Mytilus edulis: one gene and its partners. The protein of the gene in region 1 binds, or shares a complex with, the protein of each later gene. Links are inferred from orthologs where the notes say so. Each region holds a gene or a part of one and is shown on either strand. Other genes may lie near its edges.

Region 1 (8,322 bases):
AGCATAAGGTAAAGAACATAAAGAACTGACCATTAGGCCAAAAAAAATATATGTCTATTAACGGTTATCCCCGCTCGACCCTAATTTGAGCTCCAACCCTAAGCCATTTTACATAGAGTGAAAAATTAATAGAACTTGTGTCAAAAGCCAAGTGTAATAGATGTGCCTTGATATGCCTAAGTTAATTCCCCTTAATATGGACAGATCAATTATTTAGTATCTAAATGTTTATTTTAAGTTTAATTTGATTTAAATATCAATGAAGATACATATAATGTAAAAGTAAGGATTGTTAATTTTACTGTTCAGTCTATGAACTGAGCCCAAGAATTTGCATCAAAATGATGTTGAATAAAAAGTGAACTTATCTCCTACACTACTTAGAAAACACCATATTTTCAAATTAAACTGTCACATCAATTATATTATGTTAGTTCACAGACACCACATGGTTTCTCTCTCAATCTATAGGTGACAATTGTTGCAAGAAGGGATACTAATGAAATACACAATACCATAAAAAGAAAAGTTTTTTTTTCATTATATATATGTGATTTTGATATTTTACAAAATTTAATTTTTTCAATAAATTGCAAGATTAAAATAATTTAAAAACCATATATAAAAATAATTAGTTTTCAAATAAATCTTGAAAGGCAGGAAACATCAAAGAATATTTCCAAATTCTACTTTTTTTTCAAATTTAGAAAAAAGGGGGAAGGGTCTACCCTAAATGTGCCTGTGCATTTTCCTAAAAATTTAAAAGTTTTACAATTTTGTGTAGAAAACATCCGTTAGTTAAGTAATATTATCTGTCGCCTTATCAGTATGAAATGACAGATTTATAGCACTACTTAACCATTTTATAATTGCGAGAAGATATGAAATTTTCACTTTCTTGTGCATGGATCTGGGACTGTGTTTTATTATTTAACTTTTGATGTTTCTGTAATATTTGAAGCATATATTCATTTATTCAACTTTTCTTCAGTACCTTCTTTGATAAAGTTAGCCTGTTTAATGACAAGTTGAGAATATCATTTGATATTCAGTCGGAGTCGGCCTTGCACAGGCCTCCAAGTACTCGCCGGAATGTATCAGTTCACTCGAGTTAAGAGTAAGCCACCACTTAGGTGCAGTTCGCCAGAGTTAGTCACCCTATTTTGGTGCAAGTTTTACTACCTTAAATAACATAACGCGAAGCTAATTTACTTACTTTTAAGACTAACTCTGCGAACACTTTATTTTACATTTAAAATACTAATCTATTTTTGAACTCCATTTAAGAAAGTTTTCTGACTGTTGTTTATCCGACTTTGTTTAAATTCATGCAATTATTGTATATTTGTGAATAAAATATAGTTTCATTTGATTTATTGTCTGTTGTTCAGCAATAATCTGATATCAGGTATCCCGATGGTCGAATAGGGGCGAAGTACTGGCCACTACATGCCCGGGAGGTGTCGTCACCCACCCCCACCGTTACACCAAGTTAGGATTGCAAATAAATTTAATCAATTGCCTGATACATCCCAATGTTCACAATCGTGAATATGACAGCTGTTTGAAGGAAACTCGCAACTCGTGTAATGAAATAAAAACTTTGCTGCAATTTTTTTCCAACCAATAACCAAGGGAAATAATCCAATCATTAAAAATACGGGTGAACTCGGCCCATGGACAACTCGGACCACGGAAAGACGGACTGCACAACTCAAAATCATGGCACAAAAAATCAAATGGACAAGACAATGGAAATACCGACCGACCTACCCTATTTATTTTGATGATGTAACCTTCAACAGATATATATTTTCTTTTGGCCTTGCACTTGCCAAAAATAAAAATGAATATTTGAAAGATGAAATTACATGAATTATGTGCCAGGAGATTGCCAGAATGCAGGATTTTTTGCGCTACCAGTGGGTTTGAGCAACCCCCTACACCCCCTGCTGTAACGCATGTGACAGCTCCCTATAATTTTAAATTAACCTACTACTTCAATTTCAAGGGAATGCCCTGTACTTAAGAATAACACTGAAATCATATCTTTAGAAAAAAAAAATTTATTGAGAAGAGTAGAAATAGGTATTCTGCTCCTATTTTGAACGCTGGTATTAGCGTACGTAGTGACGTCAATGCTGAGTTTTTCCATGTGATGCAGGCACAGATCCAGAGGGGGGGTTCCGGGGGTTGGAACCCCCCCTTTTTTTTGGACGATCAATGCATTTGAATGGGGACATGTAATTGGAACCCCCACCCCCCTTTTGTACTGGGTTAGGAACCCCCCCCTTTTTAAAATGGCTGGATCCGCCCCTGTGACGAGTACAATAACAAATTCCGAAAGAACCAAAAAGATCATCGATCATAGACTACAGTAGGATATATATGAAAACCTGACTTTTAATTAAGATCATTACTAACTTTACTTATTTATACATGTATATAAAATGGAAAATACAAAAATATAACCAAAAACAACACTAAACAAGAAATATTTTGATTATCTATGAGGGGGGATAGGAGCTTTATCGGGACCCTGGCATAGGCTGTTTTTAAGCTCAGGATTTCAGGATTTATCCTTTTGTGATCTGGAAATTCTTTTCTCGTATTTCTGGATTTAAATTTATCTAAATTCGGGACCTCAGAATTTCATGTTTCAAAGCCCGGGATTTGGAGATCAGGACCCCTCTAAGTTTTGATATAAAAAAATTCTCCATATCAATTTATTTTGGAAACATTAACCAGGCATGTGCCGGAGAATAAACATCAGTACATTGATGGTTTTTTGTAACGAAAGAAGAAGATAAAAGTAACGCATGTTGTGGTTTTACCCGGCTGGTGTAAGAATGTGACCATGTATGAGATTAAGAGAAAGACTGGGATTAACTTAAGAAAATCATAATTCCAAATTCTTGACTGTTATTCGTGTGTAATAGATCTGGCGTTTTACCTGCTCATTGATGGGTAAGTCTATGAATACCGGTATGCTCATTTTTTCTGATGGCTTGTTGTCAAATCACACTAACGTGTTAATTTCTTGTTTATCAGTGGCAACATAAAAATAGGTGATCAGGGAAATTTAGCCAAATAAATGAGTAACCGGTCATTTTGCAATCTTAACACAAGTTAGTTTTGGAATACATCTTATTATTACTGATATCTATTTATTCATTTATCTGTTTATCTTTATCTTTTTTATACATTGATTGATTGATTGTTTGATTGATTGATGTATAGATTGATTGTTTGATTGATTGATTGATTGATTGATTGATTGATTGATTGATTGATTGATTGATTGATTGATTGATTGATTGATTGATTTGTTGATTCGATTGACACGTGTAACAAGGCAGACAGAAGGAATTGCCTAATATTGTTGAGTGATTTAGAATATAAGTGTTCTCGCCCAATGAAATTGTAGGATATTCATTCATTCATATCTTTAATTCCTCATAAATGAGATTCAATGAACATACAATTAATGAATATAAGCAAACGTTACAACATAATTACACACAAATTATTAGTATAAGAGCAAAGTATAAGGTAAATACACAAAAGATGATATATAAATAATCTATAAAAGCAATTAAAGTATAACTGCAGTGACACATCATGTATTGACACATCGTGTATTGACACATCTAATAACACTGTCTAAGAGATCGGCTATATTCTGCTACACACTGAATAACATGTGCATGACACAGCTTGAGAAATTGAACCGATTCATCTATGCTTGAAAAAATTGTCAGTGGTTTTCGACCGAGTAACATTTGAAACAGGATTTCGTCGTCATACATGTTTAATTCACAGTAAAGCTGCACTGGAAAATTGTCACTTAAAATGTCCCACCAGACTTCTCGCTGTGCATTAATACTTGGACAATTGCAACAAGCGTGTACATAAACATCTTTAAAATTCCTTGTACATATATCCCATATATTACTTGTTGTATTTGGTATTTCAGTTAGTAATTTAGTGATTAAAAAAGAATTTTTAATCTCATTAAAAGAATGTGAGTGTTTCCAAAATTCTGTAATTGTCACTGACAGGGGCGGATGCAGGAATTTTCGAAAGGGGGGTGCTAACCCAGGGCACCCAGGGCAAAGGGGGGTGCAAAACATATGTCCCGATACAAATGCATTGATCGGCAAAAATAAAGGGGGGGGGGTGCGCACCGCCGGAACCCCCCCCCCCCCCCTGGATCCGCCACTGACTGATGTATAATAATTCCTGAAACGTTTGAAGCTGTCATCTTTTGACAGTTCAAAACAAAGAGTTTCTACAAATGATTTACAACTCAGTGACCAGAAGCACATTTATCAGATAGAAAGGCTGGATTTATCACAATTGTGGAAACTGACTATAAAACGACTATAACTAAATTGTGAAACAAGTAAATGAGTTGAAGTTCACTTGTCCAGTAAAATTTGTACTTATCATGAGAATATTTTGAAATAACTTCAAATTACAAAAAAAAAAAACAATATCAAAGCAAAGGAAAATAACACAAAGCTTTAGCTCTCTAAAACTCTGTTTACCGAACATGAGGTTGGGAAGAATCAGATGAGTAATTTCAAATATTACGATAAAACAAAATACTAGAATGTGCGGTCCATAGTACAGGAATGTCCCATTCGCGATTCTCAATTTCTATGTTCAGTGGACCGGCGTGAAATTGGGGTAAAAACTCTTATTTGGAATATTGAAAAAATTGAAAGATCATATCATAGGAAACATGTGCATTAAGTTTCAAGTTGATTTGACTTCAACTTCATCATAAACTACCTTGACTGGCCAAAAACTTTAACACGAAGCTGAACAAACGGACGTACGGACGGACGAACGGATAAGGAAACAGACGCACAGACAGAAAAACATAATGACCCTTAGTGGGGCATAAAAAAATAGGATTTTGATTTAAGTTTAGATGTTCAGAATATTTTATAAGAACATTTCGCTGACATAATGCAAAAAGTATTTGATTTTAAAAGTCGGACCAAAATATTGGCAGTGAAATAAAATTAGTTGCAACTCAAATGTATTTATTGATTTTAAACTGTAATAAAATAGGATGGTTCCTCGTTAAAAGATTTACATTCATACTCACAATCAGGAAACATACAAAATTCCTACCTTTATTTGAACTGATGTGTGACCTAATATCTCAAACACAAATATTTCACAAATTTTATGAAAGTCCTTACATCACTTAAATTAACAAATAAAAGAAATGCTGAAAAATGAAGGCATGCATCAATGTTTAACATTGTAAAGTGTTCCAAGCTCAAATGATCTCTTATTTTTTTGTATTCAAGAATTTGTTTCATTGTCAGAGTAACTTTAATATATACGAGTAGATGTGGTATGCATGCCTGTGAGACAACTCTCCACCCAAGTCACCTTTGTAAAGTAAACGATTTTAGGTCAAAGTACGGGAAAACCAACAGTTTACTCCTTATAACTAGACTAGAGGCTCCAAAAAGCCCTGTCGCGCACCTGAAATTTTTATTTACAATTGATGCATTAATTTCTCCCTATGTCCTATTTTTAGCCATGTCTGTTATGTTGGTTGGCAGGCAGGATCATCGGACACATTTTTAAAACTAAATACCATAATGCTGATTGTGACCAAGTTTGGTTAAATTTGTCTCAGTAGTTTCAGGAGAAGACTTTTGTAAAAGCCATGATTACAAAATTAAGTTCGGAAAATTGTTAAATTTAACTTTAATGGACAATAACTCCTGAAGGGGTCAATTGTCCATTTTGGTCATATGACTTCTTTGTAGGTCTTAATTTGCTGAACATTATTGCTGTTTACAGTTTATCTCTATCAATAATGATATTCGAGATAATAACCAAAAAATGCAAAATTTCCTTAAAACTACTAATTCAGGGACAGCAACCCAAAAACAGATTGTCCGATGTGTGAAAATTTCAGGACAGATTGATCATAACCTGAGAAACATTTTTACCCTTGTCAGATTTGCTTTAAATGCTTTACGGTTTCAGAGATATAAGCAAAAAACTGCATTTTATCCCTATGTTCTAGCCATGGCGGCCATCTGGTTGGTTGGCCGGGTCACATGACACATTTTTTAAACTATATACTCCAATGAAGATTGTGGCCAATTTTAGTTAGCTATCGAATTGACCTCAGATGACCATATAAGCGATGTAAACATTAATATAGATATAAATATATTGAGCCAACTCGTGCAATCGGATTTTTAGAGGTCCGTTTAATTTTATTTAAATAAAGATTAGAAATATATGTTTCTCATCGTTTTTACCTGTAAAAGAAAGAATTTTTGTGGATCGAATCAGTCATCAATTGATTAACCTTTGTTTCACTTTCATTGTTGACATTCTTTTCCTTTGAAGAACCAGTACACGTACAATGAATGCGTTGTCCACCTGTAGTTACGAGGTTAAATTGAGGTTCACATGAATACGGATTTAATGAAGTCGAATTCTTCACTTGCAAGTGAATAATTCATTATCAATTCATCATCAATGTTATTTAGCTTATTTAGATTTTTATATTTCTCGTAGCTAGTGTCCCTTTAAACAAGTTACATCAAATTAATTTGCAATAAGATTTTTCCAAAAAATATTTAATTAAATATGTAATTTTTTTCTTGATAAGATTGTGTGGAAGTGTATTGTAGAGGGTAATAAAATCATAACTGTCAACAGAATTAAAAGGACCATCAAAACACGTATTTTATCTTAAACCCCTAAAGAATTTTTAACACTCCAAGAATAATTAATACCATTATTTGCATAGCTTTATCATAAAGTTAAAAACAAGTTCTTAGATAGTAGCAAAGGGGGTAGTTAGAAGCACTGATAAATTAGTATATTGAACACTTACTAGATGCTGAGACGAAACGGAATTTAAATGGTTGTTTGTGCAATTTAGGTATCAAGTACATAGCAGGGACTTTCAAATGTTCGGAAGAGACTTTAAGCTAGGTAGTCGCAGTGATATGATTGTTAACAATTTGACTATCTGTGGACCGTAAGGACCTAAATGTAGAAGAATTGATAATTTCGTTTTATAGAACTTCCGTGTAGTATATGCATCTCACCACCACTACATTATTGGCTGCTTATTTAGCTCATTTCCTAAAATCAGATGATGAATTGATTATTTGTATTGTGACAATGAGGATGTGCTATTCAGTGACTAAATAAAACTGTTTGAAATGGTTTTGTGTGGCTTTGTAAATATTTTTTTTGATTTTATTGTTCAATTTCTTCCATTTTGTGAAAATTGTAACATATCATAAAATTTGCATAGGGAGGGAGTAGTACTAAATCCCGTATATCCAAAGAGTTTTTTTTTAAAGGGGACAGGTTGAATTAGTCGATTTCCAATCAAAGTAAGATTGAAAATGTATTTACATGATGTATCAAGTTCACCTAACAAAATATATTACTAAAGGTTAACGTCAAAAAGTGCTTCTACACAAGTCAGGAATATGACAGTTGTTATCTTTTCGTTTGTTGTGTTTGAGCTTTTGTTTTGCCATTAGAATATGGCCAACTTTCCTTTTTTGAATTTTCCTCGGAGATCAGTATTTTTTTTATTTTACTTTTTTTACAGGTGATTTTATTTCATGTGATCGAAATTCAAACTTTATAGATAAAGGAAGATGTGGTATGACTGCCAATGAGACAACTCTCCATCCATGTCACAATTTATAAAAGTAAACCATTTGTATATAGGTCAAATTAAGTATGGTCTTCAACACAGAGCCTTGGATCATACCGAACAGTAAGCTATAAAGGACCCCAACATATTACTAGTGTATAACCATTCAAACGAGAAAACCAACGGTCTAATTTATATAAGTGCCGCATGTGGAGCAGGATCTGGTTACCCTTCCGGAGCACCTGAGATCACCCCTAGTTTTTGGTGGGGTTCGTGTTGTTTATTCTTTAGTTTTCTATGTTGTGTCATGTGTACTATTGTTTTTCTGTTTGTCTTTTTCATTTTTAGCCATGGCGTTGTCAGTTTGTTTTAGATTTATGAGTTTGACTGTCCCTTTGGTATCTTTCGTCCCTCTTTTATATAAAAAAAACACTTATGAGCCAAATCAACAAACGACAACTACCGAACATCAGGCACTTCTCTCTCATCTGAAACAATAGTGTAACACCACAAAATAGAAAGACACACTATAAAATATCAATTTGAATGGCTCGACTCAATTAAGACGTAGTAACACAAATGAACATACACTGGACGAATAAATTTGATCTATGATACAATGTAAATACAAAGTTAATAAAAATAAGGGATGA
Region 2 (8,318 bases), on another chromosome or scaffold:
TTACCCCTTCGTTTTGTCCCCATCTGTAGGATAATATTCGTTAACAATTTTCCCAAATTTTTCAAACAGTTTTCTAATAACTTTTGACAACTTTTCTTGACGATCAGGACCAACTTCTGGGACATTGTCTACAACAATAATGTTATCAATCCCATCAGACTCCTTTGGCTTCGATTTCAATAAATCTCCAAGTAATTCTGAAAAAAAACAATAAGTTTCTGTGATGTACATTTTACAGAAGAAAATGCATTGTTAATAAATCAAATAGTTTATGCAAAGGTATGTGAAATCTCAAATAAGTGATTTTTACTATTCATGTACAAAATCGCAAATGATATACATGTAAGCCCAAAGAAGCATGCTTTTAAGCATATCTTAATTTAAGGAAGCACATAAGTACGCTTGTCATGTTTTGGGATTTTTGTAAGATTTTCAGAATCCTCTGGTTTAATCCATTTGAATGCCTTAAAAAATTTGCCCGTTAGCTCCCATTTTTCTTTTTATAAATCTTTTACATGTATGATTTTTAGCCATCTGTAAAACGTGTTATAATATTCTAATTATTTTTTAATAGTTTTTGAGAACTTAAACTTGTCAATGATACAGCTATGAAACGTCAAGAGAAAATATTTTCCCACCAAAATTTCAATGGCTAATATCTCGAAAACAAGCACATTGACCTATATATTTTTTTGCTCTTTTAATTTCTTTATTAATCCCCTATCAATATATACTAGTGTTTTGAAATGCTAATTATTTTGAAACTGAGAACACACTCCCTTAAATATCTTGATTACTTTCCCCAGCAAATCTCAGACTGTCTCTAGAGTAATAAACAATTTGACAAGGTTTGACTGAAACTTTATATCCAAGGGCGGATCCAGCCATTTTCAAAAGGAGTGGTCCCAACTCAGGATAAAAAGGGGGTTTCGTTTTTATGTCCCCATTCAAATGCATTGACCGTCCAAAATAAGAGGGTTTTCAACCCCGCAATCCTACCCCTGGATGTGCCACTGATATTGTAAAAAGTAGTTTAACAAAATTGTTATCAACAGAATGAAAGAACATTTTTGAACTTGTTGATGAATTAGTGTTTAAGGTTCATCATAACCTTTTGGCTAAAATGGCCGTATTTACACCCCAAATTTTACTCTGAGTATAGACTAACCTATACACCTGCAACAGTTTTAAGGGATGGCAGGAACTAGATATATAAATTTTAAATGCATTTTATGTTTCAGAAAATTATAAACTTTTCTAGATTTTGCTATCCATTTTTTTCGTTCCTGCAGAAGGTGCAAAAATTAACTAAGTAGTGAAAACGATTGAGAAGCTCCCCTCATATAATCAATGTTGTGAGTAGTATTGATTTAAATGGACAATAGACACCTGTAAACAATAGGTGAATTTACAGGTTTAAACTGTGTAACTGAGTGGACCGTATCAAATGAAACTCGGGTGTTTGTTTATTTTGCTATCTTCTGCAGACTGGAAAAAAATGAACATCAAAATCCAGGTAAGTTTTTAATTTTCTGAAACGTAGACTTCATATAACTTTTATATATATCTAGTTCCTGCCATGCCTTAAAACTTTCCTGGATGTACCAGTTTGTCTGTACTCATAGTAATTTTGGAGGTGTAAACACGGCCATATTTTTCAATTCCTTACGATGAACCTTAATGTCAAGTGGCAAATATTATATATCAAGGATATGAGGGACAATCCCTTGTTAGGATGGTTGTCAATGTCAAACCATTGCCAAAGAATCCGGGTTCGTTCGCCCCCTTTTACTTTCGCACCCTACATGTTCGCATCCAAAGTCCGTTCCCACCCTACATGTTCGCGCCCAATTTTAATTGTTTGATTTAGTAATCATGCAAGTTTTGGCAAGAGTATTCTTGTTGTCATTGTCTTAAAATAAAGTGAGACAGCATTTTTTTTTATGTGTTGAATAAATCTTAATCATGAGTTGGATAGTGTATTGTTAAAAGAAAATATAATCCTTTTTATAAATAAAGTGGGATTCTGTCATCGTTTTATTTTGTGTTGAATAACTCTTAATCATGTTTTGGTTAGTGTATTGCTATAACTTTGTTTCATTGACTTGTTTCAAAACAACTAAGTGAGATTCTGACTACGTTTTTTTTTGTGTGTTGAATAAATTTCATCATGTTTTGGTTATAATAGTGTAAAATACATGTATTTTATTGTTTAATTGTTTCAGATCAAAGTTACCAAGCTGTCAAAAACAATTATCTTTTGTGTTTTTCATTTAAAATCTTCAATGTTTTACTCATACCGAGCTATATACATTCAATATTTACACCAAAGCAATTTAAAACAACAATCATGATTTCCAATTATTCAACTGGAATGTTAATAAAAATTGGGCGCGAACGTGTAGAGTGCGAACGGACCTTGGGTGCGAACGTGTATTGGGCGCGAACGGACCTGATACCATTGCCAAACAGGTTTGACAAAAGAGTTGACATATGGTATAGATACTGGTTGAAGACGGAAGGTTGATCTCTTATCTCATTTATTTAGATTTTTGTGAACAAATATAAGTTGCTTTCAGTCTCTCATGGATACATCAATCATACAAGTTACAACGCAAATTCTTTCTTTCCCATATTTCATCTCTTTTGTTTATATTTATATTTTTTATATTTTCAAACTAAGTGTGTATAGACATATATATTCATTGTGAAGTGCTCCTTTGAAGGAGGGATTTCCCAATACAGATACAGATACAGATTGCGCATAATTTCATGCAAATCGTTGGATTCTCTAAGAATTATATGGACTGGTATAGATAGATCAGGATTAAAACAAGACTTAAGGGGTGAAATCAGACTAAACATCTTATAAAAGTGGTTTTGAACCACTCCAGAAGTACGAAAACCATCGGAAGCCCACATATGGGGTAGAAAAAAACATGTTACGAAGGTTAACCTTCGTCAGTTACATCTTCATCATATTCATCAGGGTCACTAAAGTCTGGTTCTTCTCCGAAATCCTCAAATTCTCCGTCCTGATTCTGTGAATCAGATTTTTGTCTCCGCGATTCTGAATCGCTTCTATCAGCCGCCATCTTGAAAACCCTCGTGGATTCGCCGGTAGTTTATTGCGCAGGCGTAGAAATATAAATGTTAAACCGATGACCAAACAATAATATCAATTTCCGCAAAAAATGACAAAACAAAGAAAAAAAACGTTAATAAGACCAGAGACATATTCTACATTTGTATTATATGTCTCTGATAAGACGAACACAGAAAAATAAAGATTGAGGAGCACAATAATAACTTTTCCCATTTATCTTCAATTTTTACCTATTTAGGGACTTTTAGACGAGAAAAAAATATCAGTTTCACAATTAAACTATTTTCATACTTTCACTAACTATGAAGTGACCAATCTGAATCAATTTAACTTTTATGATCTCGACGTTTAAAGACACTGGAAAAGTTACATTTAAGGAGGCTCGCGGGTATAAGATTTTCAGAAAAAAATTAAAACATTAATTTTTCATTACAAATTTTGTTTATTACCTTAAGTAGTTGTTCCTTTATCATATGGTACAAAAATCATTCCAAAAAATCAATTTGTGTTGGCCCCAGGTGACTTTTAAAATGTAGATATCATTGAAAAAGCTCCAAATTATCTCCCTTTGGTGCAAAAATGCCAATTTTTTTGCATTAAAATATAAGTATCTTTCTTAACACATCGGTGACCTATATTTTTTATTGTTGTTTTCGAATAAGCTGTACATAAACTAAATAATTGTAAAATTTAAGCGATTTCTGTTATTTAGTTCTTTTTTTATTTCGATATTACCGCTATTTCTCCTATTAGTTCAACAGAAAAAAAGGACATTAACAAAATGTATGCTTCTTCCGAGATTGTGAGCGTAAATGAACGGTGACCCCATTTTTTTATTTCATTTTTCTATTTGAGTATCAGATAAAGTTCATTTATAGAAAAATATAGAGAAATCCTATATTAAATAAAAAAAAATTATTTAGACCCGTGATTGCCAGGCAAATATTTCAGCATACTAGTATTAAAAATTAATTTCCATAATGTTTACAAAATGACTGTACGTTTATAGCTTATGTTGATGCTTTATGAAATAGATTAGATCGATCGTCGGTGTGTTAACTAAGAGTCGGTGCTCATAACCTTGCCATTAAAATAGGAAGATATTTCAAAATGCCAAGGGGTCAAAAATGAACAGCACATACTAGTTCATTGAAGAGGATACTCCTATATCAGAGAGATTTAGAATTCAACATTTCCAAAATTGCTGAAAAAAGTATAACCCCTTTTGCGATAAAAAAAATATAGCGTATAATTTATATTAAATCTTATACGGACTATTAAAGAGTACAGGTAAAAAGAAAGCCCATTTTTCTTTAATAAACTCGTGTATTACTTATCTTGTGAATTCAAAAGACCATGTGCGATTTAAGTTGTACAGGATGTTGCAATTTTGGATGAATGTTATTTAGAATTTAATACTCTCTGACCAGGTGTGATCTGTTTAATGACTTTGCCCCAAGCAAGAGGTATTAATTTAAGTTGGTTGACCGTTATGGAATAACCGTATCACAAATGATATCGGATATGTTCCTTACGTCGTAACTACAATCCCCTTCCCTTTCCTGAATGTGACCTACCGAATTAGACTATTTACCGGATTTGTTATCACATAAGCAACACGACGGGTGCCGCATGTGGAGCAGGATCTGCTTACCCTTCCGGAGCACCTGAGATCACCCCTAGTTTTTTGGTGGGGTTCGTGTTGTTTATTCTTTAGTTTTCTATGTTGTGTCGTGTGTGCTGTTGTTTGTTTGTCTTTTTCATTTTTAGCCATGGCGTTGTCAGTTTGTTTTAGATTTATGAGTTTGACTGTCCCTTTGGTATCTTTCGTCCCTCTTTTATACTTATCTACTAATCAGAAGAACTATTTTATTAAATTCTTTCCATATCAAAAGAATGTCGATGAGCGATAAGTCGAGGTTGATTAAAGAAAGCCGAAGAATAGTTGACGCTTCCAATGATGTAAATCTGAACTCCGTCACATTGCTTAACATGATTTTGGAAATAGTTACGGGTATCGACTCTACAATGAGACGAATGGAAACAAGTATGGAGAAGCACCTTGATGATTTGAAACAAGATTTCTTAACGGTGTCAGCTAGGGTTAGAACATTAGAAAACCAGGCAAGCCATTTCAACAAAAAGCTGTCAGACTGCGAGACTAGCTGCCAAGGTGTTAGCAATCTTTTCGATCAAGTATCTGGACAAGTAAAAACCAACAGACGTAATATAAACAATCAGGATACGAGAATTAAGAAACTCGAAGACAACACCATCGTCCGACCGGGTGTTCCACCAGTCATCATTTCAAAGGAAATTGAGTCCTTAAAGGCAGCTATTCTTGACTTGCAATGCAGGTCAATGAAAAACAATCTGATCTTTACGGGATTGCATAGAGTTCCGGGTGAAGATACGGAAGAGCTTTTGCGATCTTTTCTATACGATGAGCTGAGGATCGACTACAAGATCGAATTCGGTAATGTCCATCGATTCAGAACAAAGGGGGACAACAGAAGAGCACCAATAGTTGCAAGATTCCTATATCACCGTGATCTGGAATATGTTTAAGCAAATGCTACCAGACTAAAATGTAGACCATATGGAATACGGGAACAATTTCCTCATGAAATTGAACAAAAGCGGAAGGAACTGTATCCGGTGTTAAAACAAGCCAAACAGCAAAATAGACAAGCCTCTCTTGTGCATGATCGGCTATACATAGACAATCAGCTCTACATTCCTGACACGGTATTAGAGGACACTAGAACGGAGCATACTGGCTCTTCATCAACAAACCATGACACGAGCCCAAAAGGGTCTTATTCTAGTGATACCCATCCTAGCAAAAGACAGCGACAGGGACCGTCTCCTCGCCCACCGCACACAGATGATTCACCAAATTCTGGCAGATAGGGGAATGGTGCAAGAGGACAACCTCAAAAGAATTTGAAAAGTTATGAAACTGTGAATAAGAAATATACAATTAACAATGATAGTTTAAATATTTGTTTCTTAAATGTTTGTGGACTTAAGAAAAGGCTATTGTCTCCTGATTTCATTGACATTTTGCTTGAACATGATATCTGTATTTTTGTTGAAACGATGTTAACTGATTTAGATAATTTAAACTTACCAGACGATTATATTTATGTCACAAAAAATAGATTTTTTTTTTTAAAAACCATCAGGTGGAATAGTTGTTATTTATAGAAAGAGTTTAGAAAAAGAATTGAATTTCTATAATACTGAGAGTCAATTTGTTTTATGGTTTCAAATTTCTAAATCAATTTTGTCACTTAATTCAGATGTAATTTTTGGTTGTGTTTATGTACCACCTGAAAATTCTAAGTATTCTACTATAGAAGCTTTTGAAGAATTGGAAAATGAATTGAATATCCTAACAAACACTGAAAATTGTTATGTTGCCCTAGTTGGCGATTTTAACTCAAAAACTGGGTCTTTACCCGATTATATTATACCTGATGAGTCAGTTGTTAGTATGTTTGATTTAGATTGTGATACTGATATATTATATTATTTGTATGATTATGAGAATCTGACTCGAAACAAAATCACCTTACAAAGAGTGTCTCAGTGTACATGTAGACCTAATAAGTATGGTCATAGACTGTTAGAGTTGTGCAGAAAAAATAATTTATATATTGCGAATTCAAGAGTTGGATCAGATAAAGATATTGGGGAGAAAACATGTAACGATTCAAGTGTTGTTGATTATTTAATTATTTCAGCAATGCTCTTCCCTATGATTTTTTATTTTGAAATTGCTGACTTTATACCGTTATATTCTGATTGTCATTCTTTTATAAATTTTAGACTTCAGGTCACATTTAGTAAATCAGATTCAATTGTTATCAACAATAGAAATGATCAAACTTTTGTCAGGTGGAAAAGTGAACAGAAATCTGAATACGTTGATCGAATTCACAATGATCCCGAAGGTATTTTGACCACTGTTATGAATAAACTGGACAAATTGTCCGTAAATAATGATGCAACTCAAAATGATATAAACAATATAGTTTTAGATATCAGCAAAAATTTTAAAGATGCGGCGGCAGAAACGTTTGGGAAAATAAATAAACATAAACATTTTTACAAACATGAAAATTCAAAACCTTGGTTTAATAGAAAATGCTCGATGAGTAGAAAAAAATTTCATAAAGCTCGAAAGAGATATAGTTTTTTGAAAAATGCTGAAAACAGAAGTAAAATGAGACAAGCTAGTAAAGAACATAAAATAACATTAAATAAAGCTTTTGCAAACTTTCAACAGAAGGCTGCTGATGAGTTGCGTAACATTTCTAAAAAGGATACAAAAGCTCTATGGAAAATCCTGAATAATCTAAATGATAGTAAAAAAAAAAGATAACAATGACGATATATCTCTAAAAGCATTGTATGATCATTTTAAAATACTAAATGAAACTATTGAGACAGAAAATGATTTCGAACAAGATTTGGAATTTGATACTCGATCAGACGATGTTGAGTTATCCCGTACACTTTCCTCATAAAAAAAACAATCTTTCCAGAACAGAGTAGCAAATGCCATCTGAGATTATTAAACTGGTTATTTGCACGAGACTTTTAAAATAGTTACTTTGGGTGGGTTTTTTAATAGTATATTATGTGTACTTGCATGAGCAACACGATGGGTGTTACATGTGAAGCAGAATCTTCTTTACCATCTAGACCACCTGTAGTTCACCTCCTGTTTTGTCATGTGGTACGTGTTGCTCAGTGCTTACTATTCTTTGATCTGTTTTGTATGCTGTTGTTTGTCTCCTTGCTTTTTTGCTTTTTAGTCATTGTGTAGTCAGTTTATAATCATCTTATGAGTTTCAATGTTCCTTTTAAATTCTTCACCTCATTTTTGAAGGATTACATGGCTGTTTTGTAAATATATTACGCTTAAGTGCGGCCAAGCTTAGCAAAATGTCGTGCGAAATATTAATCAGTCTGGGTCAATATCGAGAAAAAGTTCAAGATATGAATAATATCTTATAGTTTTTATAGTTTGATTTATCACACAATCACTGGGTTATATAAGATACAAGCACTAATTTAAAGGCGGGTTATTGAGTAACAGGACATCGTTAATATATATGAAAATGAAATTAAAGAACTATGCAAGATGCTTTATCTTTTTGTTTGTGAAACGTTTCTTATGATTTCTGCTTCATATAGGTAC
Region 3 (8,218 bases), on another chromosome or scaffold:
TCTATTCTGTCAAATAGCAACTCAAATGAGTTCATCACTTCTATTATTCTTCCTTTCTGTTTACCAATAACTGCTCCAAGAACTTAAAAACAGTAATACATCAAAAATTTATCTTAGCATAAATTAGAAAAATAACTGCCAGGATGGCAAGCAACAATAAACCAATCAGTAACATTTGCTTAATAGAATTTTAAATTGTGTGCCCTTTGCAGATGTCTTTACTTATCATTTAAGTGTAATTTCATGGACAATGAAAATCCCATTTGTCTGTTATCTTCATATCACTGCTCATTTATAAGCCCCAAAGGAGCAATTTTTGAAGGCCTTGCACAAATACCTTACATGTATTACCTATTTTCCTACATGAATTCTAGGTGGAACCCCATTCCTAACTCTTTAAATATTTAATTTCCTTTGGGTCAGTGGGCATGACTCCTTTTCGTACACATTCCTCTGTTTTAATAGCGATCAGTTTTAATATAGTACGACGTCTATCAACAGAATGAGTTAATTTTACTCAACTCGTCGTTTGACGAAAGTTACTTACAGAAGGGAGACAACTCGAAGCAATAATATGGAAGACTCCATTTTGGCTGAAGGGGTTTTCTAGTTACACCTATACTTTAAGGACTACATTTATTTTAATTCAAATGATGCATCTATAATACTAAAATTACGAGGTCCAATTTGTCAGCCGTCATCACGTTAAAACGATGAATCAAAGAATTCAACTTTATATATAACTAATATAGTACAATGGTGTTGATTAAAAATTACACCACTCTAGGCCCGTTTGTTTTCCACGTAATTAATATTGCCAATAATTAAGAAGTTCCGGATCGAGTCCGACACCGATACCAATAGTATATTCCCCTGTTACCTATTACCTTATCTGTACGTTCCGCATCTGACAGGCGCACCACCAAACAGTGTATTTAGAATTTTGCTGTATACTGTTGAGTAAAAAATACTCCATTCCAGGCCCTTTTGTTTTCCAAATTATTAATATTACCAATAATTGATAGGTTCCAGGTCGACGGGTTCAAACAGAAAGATTTTGAAAGCAGAGAAAACTGTGCACGTTATACATGTTATAATCGGCATGACTTTATCAGATGACAATACCAATACTAAAATAAGGCATACGCATAGTTATATATCAGTCACGGACCCGCGATATCACGGGTGTGTTCTAGTATGATTTAAAATTATGCAACAACAATAACCCTCAACAGACATAGACGGATAGAAAGGATCTTGTGAGTTTCAAATTAATCAATGGAGTGGGGAATCCAGAGCAACCATTCAATCTGATACCCCTATAAGTCAAGAAAACTATACACATGCACATAATTACCTTAACAAACCCTAGACTTGTTCTTTGTAGCAAGGACGTATATTAAAAACAACCTCCGTTCTTTATGGAAGTACAATATCAAATATCAGTTTCATAATGGTGACATACATGTACATGTACAACAAAAATGTATATATATAAGAAAACTCCACTTCAGTTCTTATATGACAGACATAGATTTATCGGAATTCAGAGAACTCTTGCATATTACCAAAACTGGGGAATTCCCTCTGACGTGTTTCTAAATTTATAAAAACACTAAATATAAATACTGCTTAATTCTGATTTTCTGTGTTGTTAAAAACACCCATACAAGTCAAGGGAAATATCGAAACATGATTGAAGATTATTAGAAGAACATTATAGGACAGTTGTTTAAATTCAATCCTTTTGTTTTTTATACCATTCAAAGCAAGACAATCTAGTTCCTTGCTGTTTAAAAGAAAATGGTTGACGTGAGGGCATGGCCCGAAGTCAATGGTATAAGTTTACAGATTGCTTAAAAGCGATTGTATCCCAAAAAACAATTTGCTTGACCAGTATTGCCTGCCACAAGATTGATGACGCTGAATGGAATGTACACAAAGCAATGGAGGCAGGAAGTGGGATTTTGTGAAGTAATTCAAAAGAGTAGAAAAAAAGTATTCTGCACTAATTTCTACACTGGAAGTAGCTTAGTGACGTCAATGTGTAGTTTCCCTGTGTGTTAAGTTCAAACACAAATACCGATTGAACTAACAAGATGACCGATAAATGTTTAGACTACATACATTTGTACACAGTAGTCAGTACTCACAGTAGCCTGGCTGAGTAGGATATGCAACGAAATTTCAATAATGTTCCTTAAACAGGTAGGGAACAAACCTTCTATATGGTAATTATACCTGTATAGAGGGATAATCCTTCTATAGAGGGGTAAAATTATCCTCTATATGCCTCTATAGAGGGATATTTTTGTTCAGACTGGATTTAAATCAATATAGGGCAGAATGGCATTCTCTACTTATTATGGCAGTAACCTGGAACAGTTGATGCACCAATTGATGTACTTAATTTAATATGCAAATGCCCAGTTTCATGCTTATCTGACTAAATATAAAATCTATTGTTCACCATGATTGAAAGCTGTGATGATCAGGTAAATTCTACTCACTTCTGCCTCACTGAACAGAATTTCTATTGTTAGATTTAACATGAAATTTAAAGGTCAACTATTCCTTTTGTTGTTGATCAAGTGTTCAGATAGGTTAACAATAGATTGCAAGTTTTGTCACTTTAGCAGAAAACTGGTTATCCCAATTTTTAGTAAAGTGCATATGTTGATGCATATAATGCTAGAGATTGTAGCCAATATAGCTAGAAAATGCCATTCTGCCCTAATTTGCTTTAAATCCAGTGCAAACAAAAATACCCTTCTATAGAGGGATAATTTTATCCCTCTAAAGAAGGATTATCCCTCTATAGAGGTATAATCACCATACAGGGGGTTTGTTCCCAACCTGTTAAAGTAAAGTAGAGTTAACATGCCTTCAGTTAATTGTTTTTCTATTGCAAACATGGGTTTTAATGTGATTTTGCTTCTGCCATGTGTACAACAACTTTTATAATCTATGGTAATGTTACCCTGTGTTGGTTTTCCTTCTTGGGCTCGTACTCTTGTCCAATGTTCAGAAATATTCATTATGACAAGTGGGTGAAACGACACTGAAACACTTCCTGATGCAGTTGTGCTAGCCATCACACTAGTCATGCTAGTAGAAGGTGTATCGATCTCCATTTGAGAAGCCATGGTCATAAAAAACAGAAAAAAGAAAGAAAACAAAAATACTTTAAAGGGACGTAACTTTTGACGTCTGATGATCTTGATCATTTAAATGCTTATTTGAATATGCTTTACTCGGCCCGTAGGAAACTCGGACCGTCTTTGTAAGGTCAACTCGGACCGTTTATTCCAGCTCTGAGTCAATTGTGCGGCGTGACTTTTTACGCCAATCCCCAAGGTAAACGGACAGAAAGTCATAGGACAAAAAGTCACAGGACATAAAGTCACAAATTTGATAGGACAAAAAGTCACAATTAATATTTTATCAATTGTTAAGATATATATAAGAGAAAGATCTTGAAACATTTCTTTTTATTACATCTATTCATTTCTAAGTGTAGGACACTGTTCATAAGCTTTGTAAATGAAAATTTATTAAATTTTAATCATGCAAAGGAGATATTTCTTGGCGACATGAAGCCGTTTAAGTACACAGTCACTTTGACATTTTGTTTTCATAACAATCATGTGATCAGTATTGATATTTATTAAATACATTTTAATTACAAAATTGCTTTGTTTATCACAGTTCAAGAAAAAAACGAATATTTTATTAAAAATTATTTTTTTTTTTTGTTTAAAAAAAAATATTCTAAAAACTGCCTGATTGTGACTTTTTGTCCTGTGATTTTTTTGTCCGTGACTTTTTGTCTGTGACTTTTTGTCCTGTGACTTTCTGTCCTACATTCATACCCCAACATACCCCAATATTCCTTCAGCTGGCCCCTATATAGGCTAAACAAATATATATATACTAGTTCAGTGACAATGAACGCCATACTAAACTCCAAATTGTACACAAGAAACTAAAGTTAAAAATAATACAGGACTAACAAAGGCCAGAGGCTTCTGACTTGGGACAGGCGCAAAATTGCGGCGGGGTTAAACATGTTCATGACTGAGATCTCAACCCTCCCCCATACCTCTAGACAATGCAGAAATGTAAACGCATAAAAATACGCACATTAAAATTCAGTTCAAGAGTAGTATTAGTCTGATGTCAGAAGATGTAACCGCAGAAAATGAACAAAATGACAATAATACATAAATAACATCAGACTACTAAGTTGTATTAACATTTATATCTTAGTCATGTATATAACTGATATTGACGAATTTAGAATTGTTCGTCCCTACATCGTTGTTCTTGAAACAATCTTTACTAGTATACATGTAATTTTCCGGACGTTTAAGCTCCATTGAGGATGAGCCCCAGAGAAAACAGACTAGTAGCGTTTCGTTAGTTTGTTTGCATGTTGGGAAAGGAGAGGATATGCAACCACTTGTACAGATAAACGACAGAATCACCATACAAGCTTTCATAGTCAACACAATCAGAAAGAGTCCCCATCGTCGGACGGGGAATATATGAAGGCTTCCAAGAATGATCATGAACAAGTGAAATGTCTGATTCCGTTAGTAAACGGACTTAACAATGATCTATAGACATCGACCGCTTGTTCTTGATATTTGAAACTGCATGCATATACGTAAACGTTTATGAGAAGGAGTGGTTACATGCTATACTCTCGCACTAGTATTACAGGGTTCTTGTGTCGATTACCTTAGACACAAATCTTTTTAACGATGTTTAAAAAAAAAAAGACAGAACCTTTAAAACTTTAAAATATTCTGTTTGATCAGCCTATAATTTACAGTTTATCTCACATCTCCTTTCATCATATTAATGTTTGCCTACGACCAGAGAATAATTCAAATCAGTGCTTTTGAGCTCGAAGTATGTGTTTATGCTTGTGTTGCATTCTCGTGCCATTGGGAACATATTTTTTACATATATTTTATATGACCTTCTGCAAAGATAGGATTAATGCCAGTTTACTGTTGTGTTTTTTCCTAAATGTGTTTTGGTCGTTTTTTTCGTTTTTTCAGTATATTTTCGGCTTATAAGTTTGAATTTCCCATTAATGCACGTTATATTTTGACTCCCATAGTGTGCAGCAGCAAATATTTCATGCTTAATTGTAGTCGAAAATGTGAACAATAAGTGTATATTGTCAACATGGTCAATCGGAGAATCATCTTTAATGACAGATCTTTTATTGTACGTTTCTGTTATATCTGGGAACAGTTATATATTAATATATATGTTCCTGGTTATATACAACCCTTGCCCGGTCTTCTAATGATTCCCCTTTGTCTGAAGGTGGTCTATAGTACGCACCTATAAGTATAGTGTTTTACTGTTTGGGGATGCTTTTTTTGCCCAAATTATTTCACAATCTGTGTCAAATTCATTTACTTGTGATGATGTGTATTTATTTGATTCTGCTAGTAGTACTCCTCCATATTCATCTTTTCTATTTTTGTGGTATACAGTGTATTTTGATGGTGCGTATTAATTAGATGGCAGTGACTATTTTACCGGCTCCGGCAAAATAGTCTCTTATGTGCTATTTTACCGGCTCCATTTGTAGACTATAGAGTTTTGCTATTTTGTCGGTCTTAATTATATATTATAAGATTAAAATAGAAGTATAGAAATTAATAATAGAAAAAATATACTGAAACATGCATTAATAAGAAATATACAACTATGCCTTTTAACATTTATACAAAACGTCCACATTAAGTTTGATATTTTTTACTTTAATAAGAAGTTTCTGAAAACATGTCTTCTTAAAATATTTAAAAAAATTAACTTATTAAAATTGATACTAGTGCATCTTAGGAAGTAAAAAAAACCACATCATAGTAAAGATAAAAAATGATACTAGTCTAGAACTTTTTTTTCTTTAATCGGAAGTCTTAACAAAAAAGCTAAAATATTAAGATTTATACTAGTACTTGTTTTCTGTAATAGGAAGTCTAAAAAAATATTTCTTTAAAAAAATATACAATACACATAAGCAAAGCATGAGAACCCATATAAAAAAATCGACATTCTGATTCAAACTTTTAATAAAAAAATATCCTATTAGTTTTCAATCAAAAAGTGACACCTAACAACATCTAACTGCTTTACGAGCGTTACAGAACCAGTGGCTTGTTTTTTGGTGACTTCTTCTTAAGTCTGGCATCAGAAAGGTGCTGCCACTGCATGAACTGAATAAAACACATGTTTCTTTTTATCACTTTTGCAAAATTTGCAGACATATACATTTCAGTATTCAACATTCATAGAATAAATGCTGTCAATAGCTAGAATTCTATGCATTGTGTGTACAATATTTTTGTTTATTAATCTTAGACATCTTATATTTTATTGCACCAAAGACTAAAGATTATTATTTTAGTTTTTCTGGTTTTCATGATTTCTAGTCCTCGTTTCACGTTTCAAAGTACTCAAAAAATCGCCCGGGCTGTAGCTTTTCATATTATCACTCAAAAATCAAGTTTGTTTGATAGCAAATTATTTGTTTTCCTTTTTTTCAATGTTCAACAGAAATAAACGTATCAACATGGATTAAATGAGTGCAGTTCGCCAAAATTGAATGACTAGAAAGGCAAGGCGAACACTGAAAAGGTTACTGAAATCGGCTAGCCACATATATATCATTTGTCATGTTTGTACCGAAATAGTTTCCTTAAAAAAATATTTTATAGTACGGTCTTGATTAAAAAAATTGAAATAAGACCGGCAAAATAGCAAAACTCTATACAAATCGCTATTTTGCCGGAGCCGGTAAAATAGCACCTAAGAGACTATTTGCCTTATTGATAAGATATATAGTATTTGAGAGCCAGGTTTCTGTGCCATAAGTTATGTCTGGTTCACAAGAATCTGTTCTATTTTTAAGGCGGTCCGAGTTGTCATTGGGCCGAGTAACAACATATAAATATCTTTATTTTCTCCTGTTAGGCCTATTTCTCGCTTTTCTGTTTGCTCATGGGTTTATGTCACGTCTTCTACGTGCTCCTATTAATAAGGAGGAAATACATCAGATTACATTTAGGACAACATTTAAAACTTAGCTTCTTTCCCCTATCAAAAACATCGCCTAAAAAGAAAATAAATTGCTTCCTGGACATTCCATCTGATATTTTGTTCTCACAATCCATTCACTGTACATATACTGTGTTTTGTCGAAACATTACCTTGATACATTCAGGCTTTTAAAAGGTAACGGTACCCTATTGCACCGAGTACCCAAATTGCACCTATTTAGAAAAACTAGCAGCGAAAATCTTACAAAATTTCACAGAGACTAAACAATTTGTATTTTTATGATTTGATACTAAGCACATCTTTCAACATAGGTAAAAATATTTAGATATGCACAAAACTTTCACAGTATTTATCAACAGATGAAGTATTTACTGAAAAAGCAAAATGTACTGAAACGTCGCCATGCGACGTCATCAAAACGTCATCTTTTTAAAATGAGCAAATACAATATGTTACAAGTATCCATTTAAAAAATAATGAAGAGTAAGCATGGACTAATATCCAATTGTTCAAAATATTTGAAGAAATTAAACAAAAGCTCTGTTATTAGACTTTTGACGATGTGAATTTAAGCATGGATGCAATTTGGGTGCTCCTCATTTCAGAATAATTGACGGTTTGGAGGTCAGTTTAGACCAATTTTTCTATTATTCCATATGGAATAAAAATCAAATTGGTGTACCTTTATAATAAAGAAGGATACGGCTACAAAATAAACACAGAATGGACATTTTTGTCTTTATCATAAAAAACGTAGATGAAAAAACTGTCAAAATAGGTGCAATTTCGGTACCGTCACGTTACTGAACGGCGATACGATATCACTAAAAAAAAATCGTCAAAGAAAGTTTTATTTCTATTTCATAAATTCTCCACATCACTATGTTCATATGTTCATGCAATGTTTGTTGTATTTATACAATTACAAAATAACTGCAATCCTACACATGACAAAACATTTTCCATTTTCCTTATGGTTGTGGGCTGTTTAAATCTAGTTCTTGCATGAACAGCTATTTCTTGTACTTTATGACGTCCAACCAAGGGTTATTAGCAATACTCCATTTTTGTACTCAGGTTAGATCATCATGATCATCATCAATTACAAACTTAAACCGTATGTTTGTCTAAT
Region 4 (7,224 bases), on another chromosome or scaffold:
AATGGACTGTTTTAGCTGCTTCATATTTTTAAATCATTATATCATCACTTCAAAATCATGAAATCAAATATGAACGAAAATGCAATTGTTCATCAATCCCAGAAAATTGGTATCCACTAATATAAATAAATCTGCAGTATTCTAATTTACACTATTCACATGTATATACACTACAGCTTATGTCGAATGTGTCATTTAGAAACAAGAAGATGTGGTATAAGTACCAATGAGACAACTCTCCATCCATGTCCTGATTAGTAAAAAGTTATGTATATAGAAATTAAAGTTAGAAACATGTATATACTTACAATTTTAAAACAGCCAGATTAGCTTCCAAGTCATATGTGTTTTCTTGAGCTTGCATGTTTATATATTTTTCCAAAGTTACTAGATTTTCAGGGTTGTATCTGTAATAAAACAAAATGTCAATAAATTGTTATGGATCATCTAGATCTCCAAATGAGAAAAATGGTTTCCATCAAAAGTGGGATACAATCATCTTAATAAAGTGCTTACAAAAGTAACTATAATTGACAATTGCACAGGGGATGAGGTTGTCAGATTCAGTCTTGCCATTTCCAAAATTGAGTTGAAACTTGAGTGACATAAATATACTGAACTTAATTAATTTTAATGTAATATTTGGACAAAGTCTTTAGTCCAACCAGCTCAGGGATTAATCAATGATCTCTCCAACTCACAAGGAGAATGCTACAAGGCAGTTATATAAATCAACTAAATGTACATAACATGGTTTGATTCCAATTTCAGATTTAAAAAAACACTTTTTCTGAATTTTACATGTATATTATTTTCCATTTTCAATATACATGTAAAAAAGAAGATGTGATATGATTGCCAATTAGACAACTTCTCACAACATGCACAAGAGACCAAATGACACAGAAATTAACAACTACAGGTCACCATCGTCATACATGTACATAATGTATCTCATTACAAATGTAGGAACTCAAAATTATTAGTAAGACCAGTAAGTTTGGCAATATGGCACTGCTGTCAATACTAATATGAGGCAGGCATTACCTGTGAAAGGGGACAAAGTCTGTATGAATTGTTTTTTTAAAAATTCAAACATATTTAAACTTCCAAAAAAAAACCCGAAATACTGTAACGTTTCCGATTTTGGTTCTGTTGTTTGGGATTTATGTTATGACGTTATATAAGTTAAGACATCATATTCAAGGTAAACAAGTAAATGCGATCATCAGGTAACATTTATTCATATTAGACAAAGAAATATTAAAAAATGAAATTAGTATTGACTATTGTGTTCCTGGAGTTTCTATATTTTACTAGACTACTCAAAGTCTCATGACACAACTGAAAGGAAGTACATTTCTGTGCAAATGTGCAAATTAAAAATGTCTGAAAAAAAGTTAACGATTTTGAGTTCTTAAAACATGTAAACAGTGTTCCAGCTAAAAGAAGAATGAAAATTTCGGGAAATTTTCCTGATTATTTATTTTTTACTGATTTTCTACCGTAAATAGGGGACTCTGATTCTCTACACAAATTTTGTATGTAAAAGAAAAAAAGACAGAAAAATATTAAGTTTCAAGAACTCTGATAACATTTAATTCATTAAAAGATTGATTAGCTGTACAGATCATGGAAGTATATGCTTTCAAGAGGATGTTTGGTAATATGAGGAACAGAAAATTTTGATAAAATATCTTAATCAGTAAAATTGAGAATGGAAATGGGAAATGTGTCAAAGAGACAACAACCTGACCATAGAAAAAACAACAGCAGAAGGTCACTAACAGGTCTTCAATGTAGCGAAACATTCCCGCACCTGGAGGCGTCCTTCAGCTGGCCCCTAAACAAATATATACTAGTTCAGTGATAATGAACGCCATACTAATTTCTGAACTGTACACAAAAAACTAAAATTAAAAAAATACAAGACTAACAAAGCCGAATCCGGGTCCGTTTGCCCTAATTTATGTTCGCCCTAGTACCTGTTCGTCCTGATACATTTTGTACCTGTTCGCCTAGGGTCCATTCGCCCTGATATTTATTTTTTTCAAATTGTTGTCTAGTCGCATTGTTTTAAGTATTTGAACAAAATATGTTAAAGTTTGTTGAAAAATTGACAGAATATTTATATTGCCGCAATCAATTTATCATTTTCCCTTTGCAGAGTAGAATACTGGAATTTATTTATTTTTATTGATATTTGTTAACAAAATAATTGTATTCAGTCAATCACGAATGTATGCAGTATTACTAGTCTTAAGGTATAAATAAATGAACTTGTAAGTCGGTTTCATAATTTATAGTTTGTACATCATTGTTTTTATTGATTTCAAGCTGAATATTTTATCTAAATAAAACGTTTGTTTTTATTATTATTCCATCAAAAGACAAGTATCACAATAATCAGTGATCAGAATTATTTTGTCATTGAACAATTAATGATCCTAATAAACAAGCCATAAACTTTTAAATATTTCAATGTTTTCATAAATTTCAAGAATATACATGATATATATACCATAGAAATATCTGAATAAGTTTATTCAACTTCAATGCCCTGAATATTGATATTTTTATAGTAGGGCGAACGGACTCTATGGGCGAACGAACTCAGAGCGAACGGACCTAGAGCGAACATGTTATTAGGGCGAACAGTCCCGATACCAACAAAGACCAGAGGCTCCTGACTTGGGACAGGCGCAAAAATGCGGCAGGGTTAAACATGTTTATGAGATCTCAACCCTCCCCTATACCTCTAGCCAATGTAGAAAAGTAAATGCATAACAATACACACATTTAAAATTCAATTCAAGAGAAGTCCGAATCTGATGTCAGAAGATGTAACTAAAGAAAATAAACAAAATGACAATAATACATAAATAACAACAGACTACTAGCAGTTAACTGACATGCCAGCTCCAGACTTCAATTAAACTGATTGAAAGATTATGATTTCATCATATGAATATCAGGCACAATCCTTCCCGTTAGGGGTTTAGTATCAGGTTTGTTTCTGGTCTAACATCTAAAAAGGGCTGCAGTGTCATTTTCTTTACGAGACAAAATCAGAATCGCCGGTTTTGAAAAACTTTACCACTTTCGTATTATCGTGTCTTACCTGTCAATTCCCTTTAGCAAAGCACCTACTTGGGCCCTCATCGCGTCAGCCATCCTGGAGTTTGTGAATTACAGCTGTCAAAATGAAAATTAAGAAATTCACATGTGTACCGGTACTTCAAGCGCCTTTGTGATCGTGATTTTTTCCGTAAAAAAGTCTTCGAGTAGATCTGAAAACCAACGAGCTAGTTTTAAAGCATAACCACAACCTACTAAATTTGCTGTAGAGTTTTTAAACAATTTATAAACAAGTTGCTTTCTTTAAAAAAAGAAATGCAATCGTAAACCCAAATGCTTGTTTGGTATTAAATATTAGATAATTGTTTACTTAAGATGTATTGTTTTATATAATTTGTGGTATAAGAATTAAAAACTGACATTGATTGTTTACTTAATGAAATTACAATTCAATGTGGGTTGATATATTTTCGCTAAAGCTGTGATCACACATTCACGATTTTTACTGCCGTCCTTGACAGGACCATTCCCAATTAAAATTTGTCAAAAGTCTGATCAAGATCCTGTGAATCGTGGAAGGAAATTCAAACTTTAATTAATTAATCACGACAACAATCAGATATTGTTCAGGAAGCGTCGATATTCAACCGTTTCCAAGAGAATTTTTTCACGATAATCCCGTTCTCAATCCGCTTCTAATCCGATTTGTATCTTTCGCAAAGTAAAATTCGACCGAATTGGTCACAACTGCATCCCGATTCTACCGAATGTAATCCGACAGAGATCAGACAGTGACCAGACAGTGAACCGATGCTGACAGAAGTTATCCGTTCGAAAACTGTCGACATACTCGGGATGATCAGGTACTGTCGGAACGGAATTCTATCACGATCCTCTCTATCTCATTGCAAACGTCTTTGTCTGGTCTCAGTCGTATTGTATTCTGTAATTGTCGGGACTCTGAGGTGGGTATCATTGGCGAATTTCGTATTAATAACAGGACTGTTCCGGAACGATTTCGGCAAAGACGGTTTGAAATCGACTAGATCTGGATGTAATCTGGACTCAATCGGCAGAAAAACACCAATGAAAAATTTCTCCAGATCATTCCCGTTCCACAGGACACCGTCCAGAAAACACAGAACAATGTTAGAATTTTTATCCGATACAGCAGAATCTGCCACGACATAGTCACGCTTGTCATCCGGCTAGACAAAGTCGGCTGAGTTCCCCGAATGTTACGGGACGCACCTAAATGTCGGGGTGCTTCGCCGAACTATCAAGACCATTCCCGACCCGTAGCCTATCTGTTACGAATTTAAACGACTGCGTTCAGACAATGATAGGACATTCCAGATAATTGAGGATTGTAATCCGACTTTTTCACTTTTCGTGTCTTATTGCTGTCTAGGTTTACGCAATTAACCAACAACCGATTTGTTTTGCAAGACTAATTTAACACCACAAACAAACACGTACAACCCATACACCGTGGCGCTTATATAAGACATCAGAGAAAGTTTAGTTTACACATTTATGAGAACTGTTGACCAGGAGCTTTTAATTAATTTATAGAGAACACGTTTATATCAGTACATTATCATAATGATCACACAAAGCTTTGTTGTTTTGATAAAAATAAAAATAAAAAATTTCATTAATAAAATAAACTTAAAAATTTCATAAAATTATTTTACATGCTTAAAAAACCTAAATATCAAATTTATACATAATCTATTAAGCCGAAAATTCATTTTCTGATTGTTTTAAAAAAAATAACTATTTTGTTTTTATAAAGAGGAACATTTTAAAATTAAATACTTCAGAAGTGATAATTAGTTCCCTGGATAAATAAGGTAGGCTAACTATAAATAGAAAATATTTGCGGCTAAGGTAACTATAAATAGAAAGTATTTGTTCTTATCTCTATCTGCATCTGTCATCACTCGGTAACTAAAAATAGACAATTGATATCTTATCACTGACCCTATTTAGTCTACCGAAATTACATGCATGGTTAATTTTAAGATTTTGATCGTAATTAAAGCGGCACTTTAAGGGTGCAATTGTAACTAACTAAAGTTTTAAGGTGTTTGTTGTTATTGTCTAACTGCTACAGATGCAAAACATCGTTTAATAATTCTTTTCTGATCCTATTTGAATTTTCAATAATTGTTGATGAAAAACATACTTTTTATAATCGTAGAAAAAATAAATCGCTTGAACAGATTGAAGTTAGAAACAAATTAATGTTTGCATATATTATATTAACCAACGAAAAACGACAAAACATTCGCATAGTCAAGTGTATTTTTTTTTAAATATAATTTAGTTGTAGGTTTCCGTTTTATATTAGTTTTTTCATATTCAATATCTATTTAATTACATTTTTAATAATATTTTTTTTTTTTAAAGTTGCTATATTTAATAATAAAAAAAAAAATAACTGTAATTTAATCATATGCAAGTAAGACTTTAATTTCAGTATAAAAAAGTAAATAGCTTGCTTTTTACAACATGTACATCTTCACTAAACATAAAACTAAAATAAAATGCTACTAGAACTCTTTCTAAAGATTTTAATTTTAATTATTCTCGTTCAGAATATAAAGCGCATTGTTTACATGAAACCTTATCTTATATATAAACACAGCTGGTTACATCGTTTGACTCTAATTACTACGCATGCAGGTTAATAAAAGCAGCTTGATTGTGTGCAAGAAAATATTATATCATATTTAATTTCAGATCATACGTAAAATATCTCTATAGCAACTTAAGATGCTAATGCATAATCATATTTAGTTTCAGAGCATACGTAAAATATCTCTATAGCAACTTAAGATGCTAATGCATATTCAACAGATTAGTAAGCTATTGCGCATGTATTTGAAAGGTGGTTATAGCTATTGCGCATGTATTTGAAAAATGGTCATGGAAAGAGCAGAAGTGTTCCGAATAATATCCGGTGTTCCGAAATACTACATCACTCGTCCAATATATACTGCGTAAACCCTCAGGGGTTTACGCAATGACAGCGACATATAATACAATTATCATATGTCTCTGTAAATGAGAACGTTTCGTTTGAATACTAGTTGTTAAGAAAACATTGTTTTTTCGTGAGATTTCATTCTTCAGTCTTGCTGGTCTTGCACAGACCTCACCATATTTTGTCACTTTTATGTGAGTTTTAACTATTTACTTTTATCTTTATAATATTGTTGATATTTGCTAAATTGTAATTTATTATAATAAACTATGAAAGCTTGCTAGTGTTAAGTTCTACAATGCCACATATGAAGGATCAGAGACTCGTGATTCCAATACCTACTCTTTACACGGTCTGGGGTATAATATGTAAAAGTTGACACAGAAAATATGCAACGTAAAAACCCCTCCGGTTACATACATGTAGGTAAGCGCCTATGTAAGCTCTTTTCTCATCATCATACAGATTATGCATATGTATTAAACCTTTGCTTTTTGTGTGGTTATTTTTTGTGTGCATGTAGTGATTTTGTGATATGGATAGATACCCCATATCCTTTGGTTCTTTTTAATAATTTCTGAGAGTAAAAGCAAGCCTTCACCAGTATAGAGTTATGGAATTCATAATCCGGCCTCCAACAAAAACTGACCATTTCATTTTGTACATTTACAATCTGTTATCAAATATCATTTTCTCCACTGAATCCAGTCCAATAATAAAAAGTAAAAGTTTTGTCAGCCCATATGACTCACTGTAACGTCTGTCACCCACTAGTTTACTGGCTTGCAATACATGTCTCTTCAGTGGGATAGTTTTAATGACATTTCTGGTAACTGATTTTCTTTTTTAAACAACACCAACAACAAGAAACAAGAAACAATTAATTATTTTACTTGCATCTTCAAAAAAATTATGTTCAAAGAATTTTAAAAGAATCAAAAAATGTACTTGAAAAAAATATGCTCCCCAAAGATGAATGAATGTATGGCACAACTGCATTATTTGATTTTAGGTTAAAAAAAAAATTTGTGACAAACATACTTTCGTGTTGATTCGGCAATTTGTAATGTATTTTTGTTATTAAATGTTTACTACATTTGTGTTATATCTCGTTTTCCTAGTTTTAATATTTGCCCAATGTGATATTTTAAGTA

The links.
Region 2: eukaryotic translation initiation factor 3 subunit M-like (region 1) and eukaryotic translation initiation factor 3 subunit B-like share a complex: the UniProt entries of both Caenorhabditis elegans proteins name them as parts of the eukaryotic translation initiation factor 3 (eIF-3) complex. The link is inferred for Mytilus edulis from reciprocal best matches to the Caenorhabditis elegans genes cif-1 and eif-3.B.
Region 3: eukaryotic translation initiation factor 3 subunit M-like (region 1) and COP9 signalosome complex subunit 6-like share a complex: the UniProt entries of both Caenorhabditis elegans proteins name them as parts of the CSN complex. The link is inferred for Mytilus edulis from reciprocal best matches to the Caenorhabditis elegans genes cif-1 and csn-6.
Region 4: eukaryotic translation initiation factor 3 subunit M-like (region 1) and eukaryotic translation initiation factor 3 subunit K-like share a complex: the UniProt entries of both Caenorhabditis elegans proteins name them as parts of the eukaryotic translation initiation factor 3 (eIF-3) complex. The link is inferred for Mytilus edulis from reciprocal best matches to the Caenorhabditis elegans genes cif-1 and eif-3.K.

Annotation. Positions count from the first base shown.
Region 1 is NC_092350.1:9,816,386-9,824,707, forward strand, and holds the start of eukaryotic translation initiation factor 3 subunit M-like, read right to left. Parts: upstream 3,066-8,322; 5' UTR 2,996-3,065; coding exon 2,954-2,995; intron 1-2,953. UniProt on the Caenorhabditis elegans protein: Component of the eukaryotic translation initiation factor 3 (eIF-3) complex, which is involved in protein synthesis of a specialized repertoire of mRNAs and, together with other initiation factors, stimulates binding of mRNA and methionyl-tRNAi to the 40S ribosome.
Region 2 is NC_092352.1:57,917,220-57,925,537, reverse strand, and holds the start of eukaryotic translation initiation factor 3 subunit B-like, read right to left. Parts: upstream 3,168-8,318; 5' UTR 3,096-3,167; coding exon 2,957-3,095; intron 198-2,956; coding exon 5-197; intron 1-4. UniProt on the Caenorhabditis elegans protein: RNA-binding component of the eukaryotic translation initiation factor 3 (eIF-3) complex, which is involved in protein synthesis of a specialized repertoire of mRNAs and, together with other initiation factors, stimulates binding of mRNA and methionyl-tRNAi to the 40S ribosome.
Region 3 is NC_092346.1:85,901,459-85,909,676, reverse strand, and holds the start of COP9 signalosome complex subunit 6-like, read right to left. Parts: upstream 3,221-8,218; 5' UTR 3,153-3,220; coding exon 2,981-3,152; intron 83-2,980; coding exon 1-82. UniProt on the Caenorhabditis elegans protein: Component of the COP9 signalosome complex (CSN), a complex involved in various cellular and developmental processes.
Region 4 is NC_092346.1:7,988,557-7,995,780, forward strand, and holds the start of eukaryotic translation initiation factor 3 subunit K-like, read right to left. Parts: upstream 3,283-7,224; 5' UTR 3,175-3,282; coding exon 3,122-3,174; intron 408-3,121; coding exon 309-407; intron 1-308. UniProt on the Caenorhabditis elegans protein: Component of the eukaryotic translation initiation factor 3 (eIF-3) complex, which is involved in protein synthesis of a specialized repertoire of mRNAs and, together with other initiation factors, stimulates binding of mRNA and methionyl-tRNAi to the 40S ribosome.